Linked DNA regions of Saccharomyces cerevisiae S288C. The protein of the gene in region 1 interacts with the protein of each later gene in a biochemical or structural test. Each region holds a gene or a part of one and is shown on either strand. Other genes may lie near its edges.

Evidence for each region.
Region 2: the proteins of UFD2 (region 1) and CDC48 form a complex in vitro, tested with the Saccharomyces cerevisiae proteins (5 studies listed by BioGRID, with this or other methods).
Region 3: the proteins of UFD2 (region 1) and UBC4 form a complex in vitro, tested with the Saccharomyces cerevisiae proteins (one study listed by BioGRID).
Region 4: the proteins of UFD2 (region 1) and RAD23 form a complex in vitro, tested with the Saccharomyces cerevisiae proteins (3 studies listed by BioGRID, with this or other methods).

The regions. Positions count from the first base shown.
Region 1 is NC_001136.10:118,180-123,731, reverse strand, and holds UFD2 (ubiquitin-ubiquitin ligase UFD2), read left to right. Parts: upstream 1-2,139; coding exon 2,140-5,025; downstream 5,026-5,552. Other genes in the region: RBS1 (Rbs1p), read right to left, coding at 143-1,516; 60S ribosomal protein uL29 RPL35A, read right to left, coding at 5,215-5,552. UniProt on the Saccharomyces cerevisiae protein: E4 ubiquitin chain-elongation enzyme specifically involved in polyubiquitin chain assembly.
Region 2 is NC_001136.10:235,592-240,621, forward strand, and holds CDC48 (AAA family ATPase CDC48), read right to left. Parts: upstream 3,074-5,030; coding exon 566-3,073; downstream 1-565. Other genes in the region: cyclin PCL2, read left to right, coding at 1-262; HNT1 (adenosine 5'-monophosphoramidase), read right to left, coding at 3,428-3,807, 3,919-4,015; YDL124W (aldo-keto reductase superfamily protein), read left to right, coding at 4,668-5,030. UniProt on the Saccharomyces cerevisiae protein: ATP-dependent chaperone which probably uses the energy provided by ATP hydrolysis to generate mechanical force to unfold substrate proteins, disassemble protein complexes, and disaggregate protein aggregates.
Region 3 is NC_001134.8:406,128-409,025, forward strand, and holds UBC4 (E2 ubiquitin-conjugating protein UBC4), read right to left. Parts: upstream 1,043-2,898; coding exon 996-1,042; intron 901-995; coding exon 501-900; downstream 1-500. UniProt on the Saccharomyces cerevisiae protein: E2 ubiquitin-conjugating enzyme that catalyzes the covalent attachment of ubiquitin to other proteins. Mediates the selective degradation of short-lived and abnormal proteins. Mediates ubiquitination of PEX5.
Region 4 is NC_001137.3:80,692-84,551, reverse strand, and holds RAD23 (Rad23p), read left to right. Parts: upstream 1-1,948; coding exon 1,949-3,145; downstream 3,146-3,860. Other genes in the region: ANP1 (Anp1p), read left to right, coding at 1-1,502; putative acireductone synthase UTR4, read right to left, coding at 3,407-3,860. UniProt on the Saccharomyces cerevisiae protein: Plays a central role both in proteasomal degradation of misfolded proteins and DNA repair.

The DNA.
Region 1 (5,552 bases):
ACAAACTATTTTTTCGTTTTCAAATACTTATTTTTTCGAACACAAAGTGAAAACAACTTTTTCTCATATATTACTGTTCTCATACTAGAATTTCTATAAACCGTTACGTAATTTTTTCGCTATGTATAGTTCACTCCTCACGCTAAATGTTTAATTTATCAAATTTCATCTCTACCGAATCAGTATCCCTAGATGACGGCGAACCCTCAACACTAGCCCTACGAATTCCCTCATTCTTATTACTGTTACTGTCATCACTACGTTTCGGAATCGCACCAGAATATGAATTTTTTCCTTGAAAATGGTGGTACTTATTTGCTGAGGATCTTGTGTAATTGTTAGAATTATAGCTTGGTGTATTGCTATATGGCCCGCTGTGATACTGAGTGTTATATTGGTATTGATATTGATATTGGTATGGGGGATACATAGGGATTGGGGTGCCAAACGAACAGGACCCTTGGGGATTCATATTGTACATGTAAGGGTTCATGAAGACTGTGTTATTGCCCATTACCATGGGTGAAGGTGCAGGACCGGGGGCAGGACCAGCGGGGTTATACATTAGAGGGTAGGTTGGCAGACTATTGCCACCCATTTGGGGAGGAGGATACACAAGATATGGCGAAGAATATCCCGATTGGTAACCGCCGTTTTCTTTATTCCGACGACTTTGGCCTCTATAGGCATCTTTGTAATTGTTTGTTCCTCTTCTTCTTCCTCCTCTTCCTCTTCGACTATCATAAAATTGTTGTTGAGGTTTGTTTACTTGTATCGTCGTCACAGATGAATTGAATGGTGATGAAGAGCTAACTGAACCGTTACTAGTTTGTGTGTTAGAGTCATCTCCGTTCAACCAATCACTCCATTCATTGTCACTATCACTACTACCGCTACTGTTGGTTGACTTTACATCGTCTTCACTCTTGTTGAGCTTATCAAAAATTTCTTGTTTACGTTGTTCATAAAGTCTTTCCTTCTCAATTCTTTCTTGTTCCAAATCAGTACTAGATTTATCATCGATTTCGATTTTTTGGTCCTTATTTGAATTGGCTGTCAAATTGCTATTTGGTGTACGTGTATTGCCATCGATTTTATAATCGCACTCGTTACCTACCTCTTTCCGCTTTAAGATTCGAAATATTCTGTTATTGTTCGATTTTTCAATACTCTCACTTGAGGAAGCACACTCTTCCGGTTTTTTGTTCAGCTGCAACTCTTGTAAGAGTGGCTTTCCTTCAATCTTTTGGAAATTCTCACCTTTGAAAAGAATCACACAACTATCTTGAGTTCTTGCCAAAACATGGTTCAAGTTGTGGTACTCAGCTATTTGGTGCGATAGAAGCCTATAATATGAATTCATCGGTCTTAGCTGAAATGATTCTGTGTTTGAGTTTATGAATGACACTATGGAATTTTCCAGCTCTATTATAAAGATACGGTCCTGTGGTTTCTGGAACAAGCCCGTTTCCATAGCGGGTGTCAATCCCCAGTTTCGAGAATCTAGTGCTGTCATCACCTACTTCTGCCCTAACTCCTTATATACTTGAAGAGACTTGAATATCTTAGTTGTTAGTACGATACGAAATAACTAAAAAATTAATTAAAATAAAATAAATCGTGCGCCCATTATAAGATGCACGTTTCAACATACTGTCACCACGGCTTGCTGGTACAATATGGCTCAATTGCCTACGCCAAAACTTGTCGAGTTGTATGTGAAAGAAAGAAGAAACAGATAGGCTAACCCGCATATGACACTAGCCAACGCTTCTTAATCGATATTCTTATTATATCAATATTATTTTGCGCTTAACGATTCATCCTTTCGTCGAGGACGCTATTTTGTCAGTATTCGTCAGAGGCGATAGTCTGTCTTTATTACAAAAGGTGAATTGAAGATCAAAGGTAGATTCTAACCATTGGCAACAAAATAATAGAGGTGTACGCCGCAATCATTGTTAATCATTAAGTAATTGCCATTTTATTCACATTTTTAGACTCAACCACTTGCTGTTGCCACAGTAAACGTTAATTATATCTTTGAGAATTGTGTCAGCCAATAGAAAGGTAAAGTTGACCACAAGTTGTTTAAGGGGAAAAGTTAACTTTGAAAGTAGAACCCTCATTCCATAGATCATGACCGCCATAGAAGATATTTTACAAATCACCACCGATCCTTCCGATACCCGTGGCTACTCTCTATTGAAGTCCGAGGAAGTGCCTCAAGGCTCAACTCTTGGAGTTGATTTTATTGATACGCTACTATTATATCAACTCACCGAGAATGAGAAGTTGGATAAACCGTTTGAATATTTGAACGATTGCTTTCGCCGTAATCAGCAACAAAAAAGAATCACCAAAAACAAGCCAAATGCTGAGTCATTACATTCCACTTTCCAAGAGATTGATCGTCTTGTCATTGGCTATGGTGTCGTTGCCTTACAAATAGAAAACTTTTGCATGAATGGTGCTTTCATCAATTATATCACTGGAATTGTTTCTAACGTTAACTCATATACTGATTTCCTTTCCCAAATCATTCAAAGAGCCATATTAGAAGGTACCGCTTTGGATTTACTTAACGCTGTTTTCCCGACATTATTAGAATACTGTAATAAACATGTCAGCCATTTTGATTTGAACGAATCTGTAATTTACAATAACGTTCTTACCATTTTTGAGTTATTTGTTACATTTAAACCTATTGCAGAAATATTCACTAAAATAGATGGTTTTTTTGCAGACTATAGCTGTAAACCACAGGATTTTGAAAGGAAAACGATATTGGGGCCTATTTTATCTCTTTCTCCCATAGAAGCTGCTGTGGCAATCCGGAACTACGGCGATAACCTTTTGCGTTCCAAACAACAGACAGCCATGATCCATGAATCTCTACAAGCTGAGCATAAAGTTGTCATAGATAGACTCTTTTTTATTGTCGATAAGCTTGTTCGTGGCTCCTTAAACTCAAGGACTGATATGATTAGTTATTTTGCCCATATCGCTAATAAAAACCATTTACGTAGAGCCGATCATCCACCATTCAAAGAACTATCCTCTAACGGATTTATGTCCAATATCACTTTGTTATTGGTTAGATTTTCTCAACCATTTCTAGATATTTCATATAAGAAAATCGACAAGATCGACGCAAATTACTTCAACAACCCAAGTTTATTTATTGATTTATCAGGGGAAACACGATTAAATTCTGATTTTAAAGAGGCAGATGCATTTTATGACAAGAACAGAAAAACAGCAGATTCTAAGCCAAACTTCATCTCTGATTGCTTTTTCTTGACATTAACCTATTTGCATTATGGTCTGGGAGGTACATTATCATTTGAAGAGAAGATGGGATCTGAAATCAAAGCGTTAAAGGAAGAAATTGAAAAAGTAAAGAAAATAGCTGCGAACCACGATGTCTTTGCCAGATTCATTACAGCACAATTATCCAAGATGGAGAAGGCGTTGAAAACAACAGAATCTTTGCGATTTGCTCTTCAAGGGTTCTTCGCTCATAGATCTCTTCAACTAGAGGTTTTCGACTTTATTTGTGGTGCATCTACGTTCTTGATTCGTGTTGTGGATCCTGAACACGAATTTCCGTTTAAACAAATTAAATTGCCATTAATTCCGGACCAAATAGGTGTTGAAAACGTGGACAACGCTGATTTTTTGAGAGCGCATGCTCCAGTGCCTTTTAAATACTATCCAGAATTTGTTGTAGAAGGTCCAGTTAACTATTCTCTATACATTTCGAAGTACCAGACCTCTCCAATCTTCAGAAATCCACGTCTGGGATCGTTTGTTGAGTTTACAACAATGGTCCTCCGTTGTCCTGAATTGGTTTCCAACCCACATTTAAAAGGTAAATTAGTGCAGTTATTAAGCGTTGGTGCTATGCCTCTAACAGACAATTCCCCCGGATTCATGATGGATATATTCGAACACGACGAATTAGTTAACAAGAATCTGTTATATGCTCTACTAGACTTTTATGTTATTGTTGAAAAAACAGGCTCTTCTTCACAATTTTACGATAAATTCAACAGCAGATATAGCATATCAATAATTTTGGAGGAGCTTTATTACAAGATACCATCTTATAAAAACCAATTGATCTGGCAGTCTCAAAACAATGCTGACTTTTTTGTGAGGTTCGTTGCTCGTATGTTGAATGACTTGACTTTCCTGTTGGATGAAGGCCTAAGTAATTTGGCTGAGGTGCATAATATCCAAAATGAGCTGGATAATCGTGCAAGGGGCGCGCCACCAACAAGAGAGGAAGAGGACAAAGAACTACAAACAAGATTGGCGTCTGCTTCCAGGCAAGCTAAGTCCTCGTGTGGATTGGCCGATAAATCGATGAAACTGTTCGAAATCTATTCGAAGGATATACCGGCTGCATTTGTCACACCAGAAATCGTATATAGACTGGCAAGTATGCTAAACTATAACTTAGAGTCACTTGTCGGTCCCAAATGCGGGGAACTAAAAGTGAAAGACCCACAAAGTTATTCATTCAACCCAAAAGATTTGTTGAAAGCCTTAACAACTGTTTATATCAATCTTTCCGAGCAATCAGAGTTCATCAGTGCTGTCGCTAAAGATGAAAGATCATTTAATAGAAATCTCTTTGTTCGCGCAGTTGATATTCTTGGTAGAAAAACTGGTTTAGCATCTCCAGAGTTCATCGAAAAACTATTGAACTTTGCCAATAAAGCCGAAGAGCAAAGAAAGGCTGATGAAGAGGAAGATCTTGAGTATGGTGATGTTCCTGACGAGTTCTTAGATCCTTTGATGTACACAATTATGAAGGATCCTGTCATTTTACCAGCATCCAAGATGAATATTGATAGAAGCACGATCAAAGCACATCTGCTTAGTGACTCTACTGACCCGTTTAATAGAATGCCTTTAAAACTAGAGGATGTAACACCTAATGAAGAGTTAAGGCAAAAGATTCTTTGTTTCAAAAAACAAAAAAAGGAAGAAGCAAAACATAAAGCAAGCGAGTGAATGAATAAGTGATAGAATAAATTGCAAAATTGACCCTAATCAAATAAGGCTTATTTCATCGCTCAATGTGTCTTATATTTTGAAGATTTTCGATGAAAATGTTTTAATTTAACAATTATTTAAAAGGTGCTAGAAAAACGTAGAAAAGTTGGAACTATAGATAATGATAGTATATAATTGAACTTCCAATTAAGCCTTAATAGCGTACTTTCTTTGTGGGAAAGCGATTTGCTTCTTTCTTTGCTTTTCGGTAACTTGGGAAGCTTCGAATTTGGTCAAAGCTCTTCTCAAAGCTCTGGTCTTCTTGGCTCTCAAGTCCTTTGGTTGGTACTTCTTACCCTTGTATAATTGTCTAACAGCTTCTCTTTGTTGTTCGTTGATGACGGTCAAGACACAGGCGATACTCTTTCTGACGGTCTTGATCTTTGGCAAAGATGGTCTGGACAACTTTTGGACCTTCAATTCAGCCAACTCCTTTTTCAAGTCAACCAATTGAGAAGCCAATTGTTCCTTGGATTTGGTTCTTA
Region 2 (5,030 bases), 120 kb from region 1:
GAATTTATCCAATTATAGTAACAGAATACGAACTTTGCCCGAACTACACGAATCCAATAACATTAGCGACAAGTTTTCTCCGCGAACATACAACATAGACTCCAAACACGATAACAAGGAAAATAGGCCAATACCGACAATTAAGCCTTTTAATTTTAGTAAAGCGCGCCCTGTGATCTTGAAAACTGGGTTAAACAAACAGATAATAAAAGAAGATACAAAAGTAAAGAAATCGAATTGGTCAAATTACTTCAAATCGTGATTTTAAATGTCGAAATTATGCCTGGCCTGCGTTTCTTCATGGCACTTTCGGAAAAGGCGGAAGAACACAGGTAAATGTTCTTACGACCGAGGTCCTACAGCCTCCCTTTTTTCTTATTTTACATATTAATATACATAAATATACCATAATGCATTCTTTTTCTAATGATTTAGCTCTCCTTTTTTTGACAAATTTGAAAATAAATATAAAAAGGGCCATAAAATATTGAGTTAAAATTGACGATTTTTTTTATAGAAATGACTTGAATTTACGATTTAAAATAAAAATATACCTGGCATATAACTAACTATACAAATCATCATCTTCCTCCGCATTAGAACCAAATGCAGCACCTGCTCCACTTGGAGCACTATTATTACTGTTAGCATTGTCCGTAGCCGTAGTACCTAATGGAGCGTCATTAAAGTTGAAATTACTGAATTGACCTCTAGATGCTTTCATTTGCTGTGAGTATGCTTCATAACGACGCAATTCAGCATCTGAAACAGAACGTTTAGCGGTCTTCATAGCTTCTGCGAAATGCTCCTTTGTAATATATGGAACAGGATCTACTTCTGGTTCTTGTTCAGCCTTTGCTCCCTCATCTGTCATTTCCACGTCTTCACCTTCTACTTTCACTTCCTTTTCAGCTTCGTGTTGTCTGTGAGCTTCGATAGAATCCTTGATAGCGTATTTAGCAGCCCTCTGCACAATATAGAGTAAATCAGCACCAGAGAAACCTTGAGTGGCCTTGGCAATCGCAGTTAACTCTAGCCCTGGTTCTAGTGGTGTTTTCCTTAATTGAGCATTTAGAATAGATAATCTAGCGTTTTCATCTGGCAATGGAACATAAATTAATTGATCCAATCTGCCAGGTCTTAAAATAGCAGGATCAATTTGATCTGGCCTATTGGTGGCACCAATCACGAACACATTTTTCTTAGCATTCATACCATCCATTTCTGTTAATAGTTGGTTGACGACTCTATCCGAAGCACCACCAGCATCACCCAAGGAACCACCTCTTGCCTTGGCAATGGAGTCTAATTCATCTAGAAAAACGACGGTTGGTGCAGCTGCTCTTGCCTTATCAAAAATATCACGGATGTTAGATTCCGATTCACCATACCACATACTCAATAATTCTGGACCTTTGACTGAGATAAAGTTGGCAGAAACCTCAGTAGCTACAGCTTTTGCTAACAAAGTTTTACCTGTACCTGGTGGACCGTAGAACAACACACCCTTTGATGGTGATAACCCAAACTTTGTGTATTGGTCTGGATGTAAGACTGGGTATTCTACAGTTTCCTTCAATTCCTCCTTGATTTCATCTAGGCCACCAACGTCATCCCAAGTAACATTGACACTTTCAACAACGGTTTCACGCAATGCAGATGGGTTTGAATTGCCCAATGCGAATCTGAAGTTGTCCATGGTGACTCCTAAAGAATCGAGCACCTCTGCATCAATTTCATCTTCATCTAAATCTATCAAGTCCATTTTTTCACGGATCTGTTGCATGGCAGCTTCAGAACACAAAGAGGCAATATCAGCACCCACGTAACCGTGTGTTTCAGCAGCCAATGCTTCCAAATCAACATCATCAGCCAACTTCATGTTCTTGGTGTGAATACGTAGAACTTCAAGTCTACCTGTAGCATCTGGGATACCAATGTCGACTTCACGATCGAATCTACCAAATCTTCTTAAAGCGGGATCAATCGAATTTGGTCTATTGGTAGCAGCAATGACAACAACATTAGATCTTGCCTTCATACCATCCATTAAAGTTAACAATTGAGAGACAACTCTTCTCTCAACTTCACCATTAGTCTTGTCTCTCTTTGGAGCTATAGAATCGATTTCATCGATAAAAATGATGGCTGGAGCGTTCTTTTCGGCTTCTTCAAAGGCCTTTCTTAAGTTAGACTCTGATTCACCAGCCATTTTTGACATGACTTCTGGACCATTAATTAAGAAAAAAAAGGCACCGGTCTCATTAGCAACAGCTCTTGCCATCAAGGTTTTACCAGTACCAGGGGGACCATACATCAAAACACCTCTTGGTGGCTTGATACCGATAGCCTTGAACAACTGAGGATGTCTCAATGGTAGTTCAACCATTTCCCTAATTTGAGCCATTTGCTTACGACAACCACCAATATCATCGTAACCCACCTCATTCATATTATTTTCTTCATCTTCCCTGTTGATTGGCTCACCTTCCCAGTGAATAATAGTATCCTGAGCAACGACGGCATATTCTTCAGGTTCGACATCCACAACCTTGAATTCGACTTGTCTCATACCGCCTCTGACAACAAAATGGTCGCCTTTCCTCACTGGTCTGTAGGCTTCCACAAAATAAGGCTTCAAAAAAACATCGAAAAGATTACCAGTTATACCTTCGATCGTATCAGCAATTGGTAACACAGAAATTCTAGTAGCGTATTTGATATCGGGGCAAGGATGAATTGTAACTAAATCACCCAGCCTAATACGTAAATTGTTACGAACTACACGGTTTATCCTGCATGCTCCGTCTTCTAATTCGTCATCGATCAACACAATTAAGACAGTATCTTTTCTCTTCTTGCCCTTAACGAGAACGGTGTCACCACGGAACAATTCCAATTTGTCCATGGTGTTAGAATTAATAGCAATGACAGAATTGTCATCATTGATAGCATCGTCCACCAAAAGCATGTTGTCCTTCTTCTTTCTTCTTAAAATGGCGGTGGCGGTTTTATCCTCCTCACGAGGGTCGACACCCGAGGCGTCCAAAAGTGGTTTATGTTCTTCACCCATGATTTGTATATCTGTCTTGTAGTTGAGCCAGTTATCGAGTCAATGGCGTTGAGTCAAATCTTAATAGAACTAGATTAATTGACTACATCAACTGCGGATCTCTTAAATACACGGCCCTGATATATGTCCTTTTTTGCCACCGAATTCACATTCGAGGGGTTGCCGGGTAGTGCGCAAAAGGCGGTAGGTTAAAAAGGAAGGAGTTAGAGCTGTTCATAAGGTATCGATAGCAACGATGGCTAGTAACATGATTGTTAGCATTATAGAGTGGATATGAATGGAAGCAAACACACCCATATGTATAAACTTAAATATGAAAAGAAAACGCTAAAAGAAATCATAGCATGCATTACTCTAATCGGAGCCTTCTAGTTTGGCAAGCAATTCCTTGTGTAGCTTGCCCAACTTATCGAAGTCCGTTTCTTGGGCTGGCCACCCTACAATCAAACCACTTTTCTCATCTCTCTTAGGAATCAAATGGAAGTGGACGTGGTCGACTTCTTGATGCGCAATTTTACCATTATTCTGCAACACATTATAAGTGTCCAACTTCATTGCCTTGGCCAGTCTCTTGGCAATCGGCATAGCATCGGTAAGGAATTCGTCCGGGATGTCATGCAACTTCGCACCATGGTACTTAGGAATGATTAAAGCATGACCTTCAGCAGTAGGTTGGATGTCCAAGAAAGCATACGAGTACTTTGTTTCAATCAATTTGAAGGATGGAATTTCGCCTGTTGCATAGCGGATCGATTGTTAGTATTCTGCTTTATGTATATGTACTACATAGAGACTATCGCCATCATTGGTGTGAGTGTAAGCTCTTTATTAGTAATGTGACATACTTTTAATAATCTTGCAAAAAATACAGGCAGCATCAAGCGTAGCAGGAGCAGACATTTTTGTTGTTGTTAGGTACGGTGCCGATATCAATGGCTCCATCAATGTTTCTTAAAAGTCTGGAAGGCGTGCTGATTGTCCTTTTACTTCATAATGTTCTCCGCTTTCCAGTCGAACACACATCACATTACACGATCGTACAGCAATGCTTCAGTAGGGCGGTAACTTCTTCAGAAGAGAACGGACCCGCCATTATTTCTGCAAGGAATATTCTGTAACGATTCGCACCATATCTTAAAGCTTCTCAAGCTTACTGTTTTATGTGACCTCCTTTTGTACTTTTCAAGTTCTGTAGACAAGTGTCAATTCAACCTTTGAGGCTACGTGGCCAACAAGGTCTTGCGCGATTTACCGGTGTTTCCTTTGCGCCCCCTGCTCATGCCATCAAAACGGCACGCTGTTTTGTAGAAGCCTCCATGCGTCTCCTATTTGGGTCCTTGCAAAATAGTCTAACGAAAGCGCGGAGAATTAACCGGAAAAAGGAAGTTGCCACACTCCCCTTACTAATCCACACCTAGGATCTCCTTTACTCGTATTTTGAATATCTACGAAAACACTCACATACGCTCATCCCATATATATATATATATATATACGGATATATTGATAGTCGGATACTACGTGGATATGGATACACATGTAAACGGTTGTGTTACCCTAAAGAAACGGAGGTCAGTTAACAACACTTTTACAGATGTCATTTCACCAACAGTTCTTTACCTTGAATAATGGAAATAAAATCCCCGCAATCGCCATCATTGGGACAGGTACTAGATGGTATAAAAACGAAGAAACGGATGCTACCTTTTCGAACAGTTTGGTCGAACAGATTGTTTATGCTCTGAAGTTACCTGGCATTATTCACATTGATGCTGCTGAGATCTACAGAACATATCCAGAAGTTGGGAAGGCACTTAGCCTCACCGAAAAACCAAGAAATGCAATATTCTTGACAGACAAGTACTCACCTCAAATCAAGATGTCAGATTCCCCAGCGGATGGACTAGATTTAGCTTTGAAGAAGATGGGCACTGACTATGTCGATCTATACCTTTTG
Region 3 (2,898 bases), on another chromosome or scaffold:
TTGATTACATATACTAGCTATGCGTTGAACTTCAAAAATTTAAATAGGCTTCACCCCAGAAATGATGTTAATGACAATAGTAATTAACCTACAGATAGACTAGAAATGAAAAAGGTACGGTTAACGTTGACGCTCCCTCGACAAGTTAGGTCAAATATGAACCACAACTGAAATATATGCGGGATATACCCGCGCTTGCGTGCATGTAACTAAGCAAAAATTCTCCATACTGTTCGAGGAAAAAAATGTTCATGAATCTCCCCTGAATAAATTAAATTAAGGTTTACGATTCGAGTTGTTTGGAAAAAAAAAAAAAGGTTCCCCTGTACTGTTGCCAACAATAGTCTTATATCTTATATCAGTAAATCTATGTTATTAGAGATAGAATATACATATATTTTATTGTATTCTTTCTTAAATACATTGTATCTAATATTCTTTTCATCGTCCAATCCCATATAAATCTTGCTTCTCTTTTTCAGCTGAGTAAGGACTTCTGTTTATACAGCGTATTTCTTTGTCCATTCTCTGGCTGTAGCTTCGTACTTGGGTCTGTCAGTCTTGTAGATATGAGCGATTTCTGGTACTAAAGGATCGTCAGGATTAGCGTCTGTTAACAAAGAACAGATGGATAATAGGACCTTCGATAGAGTTAGAGCTGGAGACCATTGATCCTTTAGGATGTCCAGACAGATGTTACCATTGGCATTGATATTTGGATGATATATCTTGGTTGTGAAGGAGATCTTTGGTGGCTTGAATGGGTAGTCGGTTGGGAAATGGATAGACAAGAAGAAAACACCGCCGGCATATGGGGAATCGGCAGGTCCCATGATGGATGCTTGCCAGTGATATAGATCATCGCCGACTGGACCGGCTGAACATGAAGTAGGTGGATCTCTAGTTCAATAGCATGTTGATTTTGTTAGTAAATAAGAGCATAAGTTTTAAAAAAAAAGCACGCATTTGAAACGTGGCCATAACTTTAGACATACCTTTCTAGATCACTTAGTTCTTTAGCAATACGTTTAGAAGAAGACATGTTTTTTTGGATGCTTGTTTATGTATGTACTCTATAGTCAGTGAAATTTATTTACTTGTGGCGATAGTGATTTTCCTGGCTTCTTTACTTTATTTTTTTTCAGGATAGATTTATTCTCTGGATTATTTATTAAGATGAAAAATAAGAATAAAGAAAAAGAAAGAAGGATGAAGAAAAAAGAAAAATACAGGCCAAGGCCTTTCAAGGTGAGCTGTTGCCAGGTTTTTCCGCAGCGGGAAAAATCTCGCAGACCATGTGACCGCCGGTACTCCTTTTCCTGTTGCTCGGCCATTTGATCCTCGCTTCGAGAAAAACTATAACAATTGATTAGTGCGGAGAGGAGGATAGGCGGTAAGATCAGTTTTGTTTATTGTATAAATGAGATACTTTGGAATAAGGACATTAGCCTTATGTTACATCATTTCTTATCACGTAAGACTACTTATTGTCAAACTTTTTATGAAGTCATAAGGTGGACATATGAATAGTGCAGTTACCCTTGTTCAGGAATGACACCTTGTGCATTCCAGTGAGAAAGGAATGTTGACTAAAACAGTAGCTGTGCTTTTTTTTTTCTTTTTTGCCTTTTTATTCTTAATGTTCAAGAAAACTTTCTTTCCATGGAATGTATGAGGACCCTTTATTTTGAGGAATGGGTTCGAATTTATCATGCAAATTGGCAAGAATTTACTAAGTGGACTATATTTAAAGAGTTGAATTTTACGGTGAAAGTAAATTAACGCTACTTCTGTTGTTTTGGAAAAGCCAAGTTCAAGTTTCTTTTCTTGATTATTTATTCTCGTAACGATTTCGCTTTTCCTCTCTATATATTTTCCTACTCCATTCTGTAAAGAGCTTCCAGAACAAAATATAAATAAATAAAAAAAACTTCTCTTCAGGCAAGAGTACGTTCTTCGCTGGTTTCCTACAGAATCAAAAGAGTACTGCAGCTTATTGTACACACTTACAATATTCAAAACATGTGTGGCCTACTCGGTTCCTGGCAAGGTTAAGCCAAGTGGTGTAGTTACCAGAAAAAAGTGAACACATACAAGATACGATGCGTAAGTACATAAGGTATGACAGCCTGTAACAAATCCACGTTAGATTTATATCTTCTAGGCTGAGAATCTGGCAGGTTTTAGCAAAACATATATAACTTGCTCTCATTAAGCGGGCTCACTGCTTAAGCGATTGTTACCTGGAACTACAGGCAAGTACAATAGCCTCCTCCAGCTTTTGACTCTGAAAAAAAGGTAACGAAAGAAACTTTTCACACAGATAGGAACTATTCTAATATTACAGTAAAGCCAGCTATGGAATAACAGGTGGCATGTGCCCACTGTATTCATGTATGAGCGGCCTTTTTTTTCCACGAAAACAGATATGATGATGTTTTAGGCCAAAATGGTGAGATCCTTTTACAGGAAGATTTTACGCCAACTCTTTCCATTTAGTGACACAGGTGAGGGTCTTTTATCGGCGCAAGGTGTTTCAGATGAGCCATTTTGCCCGTAGTCCGGTTTAATCAGCCTCATTGGAATTCCCCGGCACCGCTCGCATTCCGCGTACGACTCAAAGAATTTCCCATTGAATTCGGGAATGTGCGTGTTTCAGATTGCGTTTGCTTATTATTCTGGGAAACTCTCCGGAAACAAGCTGAGCTGGACTCCACGAATGGTCCCTCACAAGGCTCTTGGCTCATGCACAGTTAAAAAGCACCTGTAGCTACCATCAGCAATCCATGGTGCTGGAGTTTCTCTCGATGGTACGGCCCATAGCTGGAGAAAATAGCTTATTACCAAAAAAGTAATTCCCCCGCAGAGGTATATATTAAGTTTGAAACAAAAGGCTTG
Region 4 (3,860 bases), on another chromosome or scaffold:
TGAAGTATAATAACAGAAAACTCTCGTTCAACCCTACCACAGTAAGTATCGCTGGAACGTTGCTTACGGTGTTCTTTCTCACAAGACTCGTGCTTTCGTTCTTCTCGATATCGCTATTCCAGCTGGTAACTTTCCAAGGAATCTTCAAGCCCTATGTTCCAGATTTTAAAAATACTCCCAGCGTAGAGTTCTACGACCTACGAAATTACCAAGGCAACAAAGATGGTTGGCAACAGGGTGACCGCATCTTGTTTTGCGTGCCACTGAGAGATGCTTCTGAGCATCTTCCCATGTTTTTTAACCATCTGAATACCATGACATATCCGCACAACCTGATTGATCTGTCGTTTTTGGTGAGTGACTCTTCGGATAACACCATGGGCGTGTTACTATCCAATCTACAGATGGCGCAATCGCAACAAGACAAGTCCAAAAGGTTTGGTAACATCGAAATCTATGAGAAGGACTTCGGCCAAATCATTGGTCAGTCCTTTTCTGATCGTCACGGGTTTGGCGCCCAGGGCCCCAGAAGAAAGCTGATGGCCAGGGCTCGTAATTGGCTTGGGTCCGTGGCCCTGAAACCATACCACTCCTGGGTTTACTGGAGAGACGTGGATGTCGAAACCATCCCCACTACCATCATGGAGGATCTAATGCATCACGACAAGGACGTCATTGTCCCCAACGTCTGGAGACCTTTACCAGACTGGCTGGGAAACATTCAACCCTACGATTTAAATTCATGGAAGGAATCAGAAGGGGGTCTTCAATTGGCGGATTCCCTAGACGAAGATGCTGTCATTGTGGAAGGGTACCCAGAGTACGCCACTTGGAGACCTCACCTGGCATACATGAGAGACCCAAACGGTAATCCAGAAGACGAAATGGAATTGGACGGTATTGGAGGGGTCTCGATTCTCGCGAAAGCTAAAGTATTCAGAACAGGCTCACACTTTCCTGCATTCTCCTTTGAAAAGCACGCAGAGACAGAAGCATTCGGTAGGCTCTCCCGCAGGATGAATTACAATGTCATCGGCTTGCCCCATTATGTCATCTGGCACATCTACGAACCTTCCAGCGACGACTTAAAGCACATGGCTTGGATGGCTGAAGAGGAGAAGCGGAAACTAGAAGAAGAGAGAATTCGCGAATTTTACAACAAGATCTGGGAGATTGGATTTGAAGATGTCAGAGACCAATGGAACGAAGAAAGAGATTCAATCTTAAAAAACATTGACTCCACTTTGAACAATAAAGTCACTGTAGACTGGTCTGAAGAGGGAGATGGCTCGGAGCTGGTGGACTCAAAGGGTGACTTTGTCTCACCAAACAACCAACAACAACAACAACAGCAACAACAACAACAACAGCAGCAGCAGCAACAGCAACAGCAACAACAGCTCGACGGCAACCCGCAGGGGAAACCTCTTGATGACAACGACAAGAACAAGAAAAAACATCCTAAAGAAGTTCCATTAGACTTCGACCCTGATAGAAACTAGGCTCGGTTTTTTAGTGACCTACATATGAAGTACGAATTCATATAGTTGTACATATATACCGATAATAATATCAAACCTCTATTCTTTGGTCTTTAACTTTTCTTTGAGTGAATTACAATACCATTGTTATATCAATCACTATACACGGCTCGGTGGCGAAATTGAAATTTTTTTATTTTCTTCTCTTTCATTATGGCTAGGCAAGAAATAGCGACAGCAAAACTTAAGAAAAAATGATAGAACAAGGTCCCATCCAGTATTGACTAGTAGCTAAAGCTAGAAGGTACACTTAGGTTTTTCTCCCTGTTTTTAAGTTTGAACCATTGATAAGGCCGTTCGCAGACAAGCTTGCTACCATCCAATTTTCCTTCCTCTAAAGACTTAATAAAGGCATCTAACTCCACCTTTAAATCACAGATCACACAAAGACAACATACAATAGAAAAATGGTTAGCTTAACCTTTAAAAATTTCAAGAAGGAAAAAGTTCCTTTAGATCTGGAACCTTCAAACACAATTTTAGAGACCAAGACCAAGCTTGCTCAATCCATTTCTTGTGAAGAATCTCAAATAAAACTGATCTACTCGGGTAAAGTGCTACAAGATTCCAAAACCGTATCGGAATGCGGGCTAAAAGATGGGGACCAAGTTGTCTTCATGGTTTCTCAAAAAAAGTCCACGAAGACCAAAGTAACAGAACCTCCAATTGCTCCTGAGAGCGCCACTACCCCCGGAAGAGAAAATTCTACAGAAGCATCCCCCAGTACGGATGCTTCTGCAGCTCCTGCAGCCACTGCTCCCGAAGGCTCACAACCGCAAGAAGAACAAACCGCCACTACAGAACGTACTGAATCTGCCTCTACACCGGGATTCGTGGTGGGAACCGAGAGGAACGAGACCATCGAGAGAATCATGGAAATGGGCTACCAAAGAGAGGAAGTCGAACGAGCCTTGAGAGCAGCCTTTAATAATCCAGATAGAGCGGTGGAATATCTACTGATGGGTATTCCAGAAAATCTGCGTCAACCGGAACCACAGCAACAAACAGCCGCCGCAGCGGAACAACCATCGACAGCCGCCACCACTGCGGAACAACCGGCTGAAGACGACTTATTTGCACAAGCTGCCCAAGGCGGTAATGCTTCATCCGGTGCGCTTGGCACAACTGGAGGAGCTACAGATGCTGCGCAAGGTGGACCTCCAGGTTCCATTGGCCTCACTGTAGAAGATTTACTATCGTTGAGACAGGTCGTTTCAGGTAACCCAGAAGCTTTAGCCCCATTGTTGGAAAACATAAGTGCTAGATATCCTCAATTACGTGAACATATCATGGCAAACCCAGAAGTGTTTGTGTCCATGTTGCTAGAAGCCGTGGGTGACAATATGCAAGATGTTATGGAAGGTGCGGATGATATGGTGGAAGGAGAGGATATAGAAGTTACAGGAGAGGCTGCTGCTGCAGGACTGGGACAAGGTGAAGGTGAAGGTTCTTTCCAAGTTGACTATACCCCCGAAGACGATCAAGCTATTTCGCGCCTCTGTGAATTGGGCTTTGAAAGAGATCTTGTTATCCAGGTGTATTTTGCGTGCGATAAAAACGAAGAAGCTGCAGCAAATATTCTATTCAGCGATCATGCCGACTGAGATTGTAGTAATGTTATGGCTTGAAGTATCTTCACTTATTCTCGACAATGTTGCATGATTTTTGAGCCAAGGGAAAAAAAAAGCTTACGTAGAAATCAATAACGTATGTGTATTTATATATGCTAGAAGGGAAAGAAAAGAAAACAGAGAGATGGTAATATTAATCTCAATAATAATAATAATAATAATAATAACAATAATAATAATAATAACAACAACAAATAATGATTATACTGCTTTTAGCGCATATATACAGTTTTGTTAAAGAGTTTCAAAATTCTTGTATACCTGGTACTTTTGCCCATCGGGGACAGGTGCATTACCAGGTCGGGAAGCTAACCCAGTAGCTATTCCAACGCCGGCCGCTGCGTCCAATTCCAATGGATTATCGCTCAAGAACAGTACCTCGCTAGCCTTCGCACCGATATCCCGCAAGATGTTGGCGTAAGACTGTGTTTCGGTTTTCTTTCCAGAAGTGTTGATGTCGAAATAACCATCTATATAAGAATTCAAATCCAACGAATCATGCGCAGGCGCGTTGGGATCCTGAACATACCCGAACAGCAATTTCTGTGCCTTTACAGATCCACTAGAGTAGATAAACACACGCTTCTTCCTCTTGATAAAGTCAATAGCATCTGCATAAACGGGCGCCTTAATCTGCCCAGATTCGTATCCGTGAGCCCAGACGTAGCCTTGCAACTGTTTCAAGATT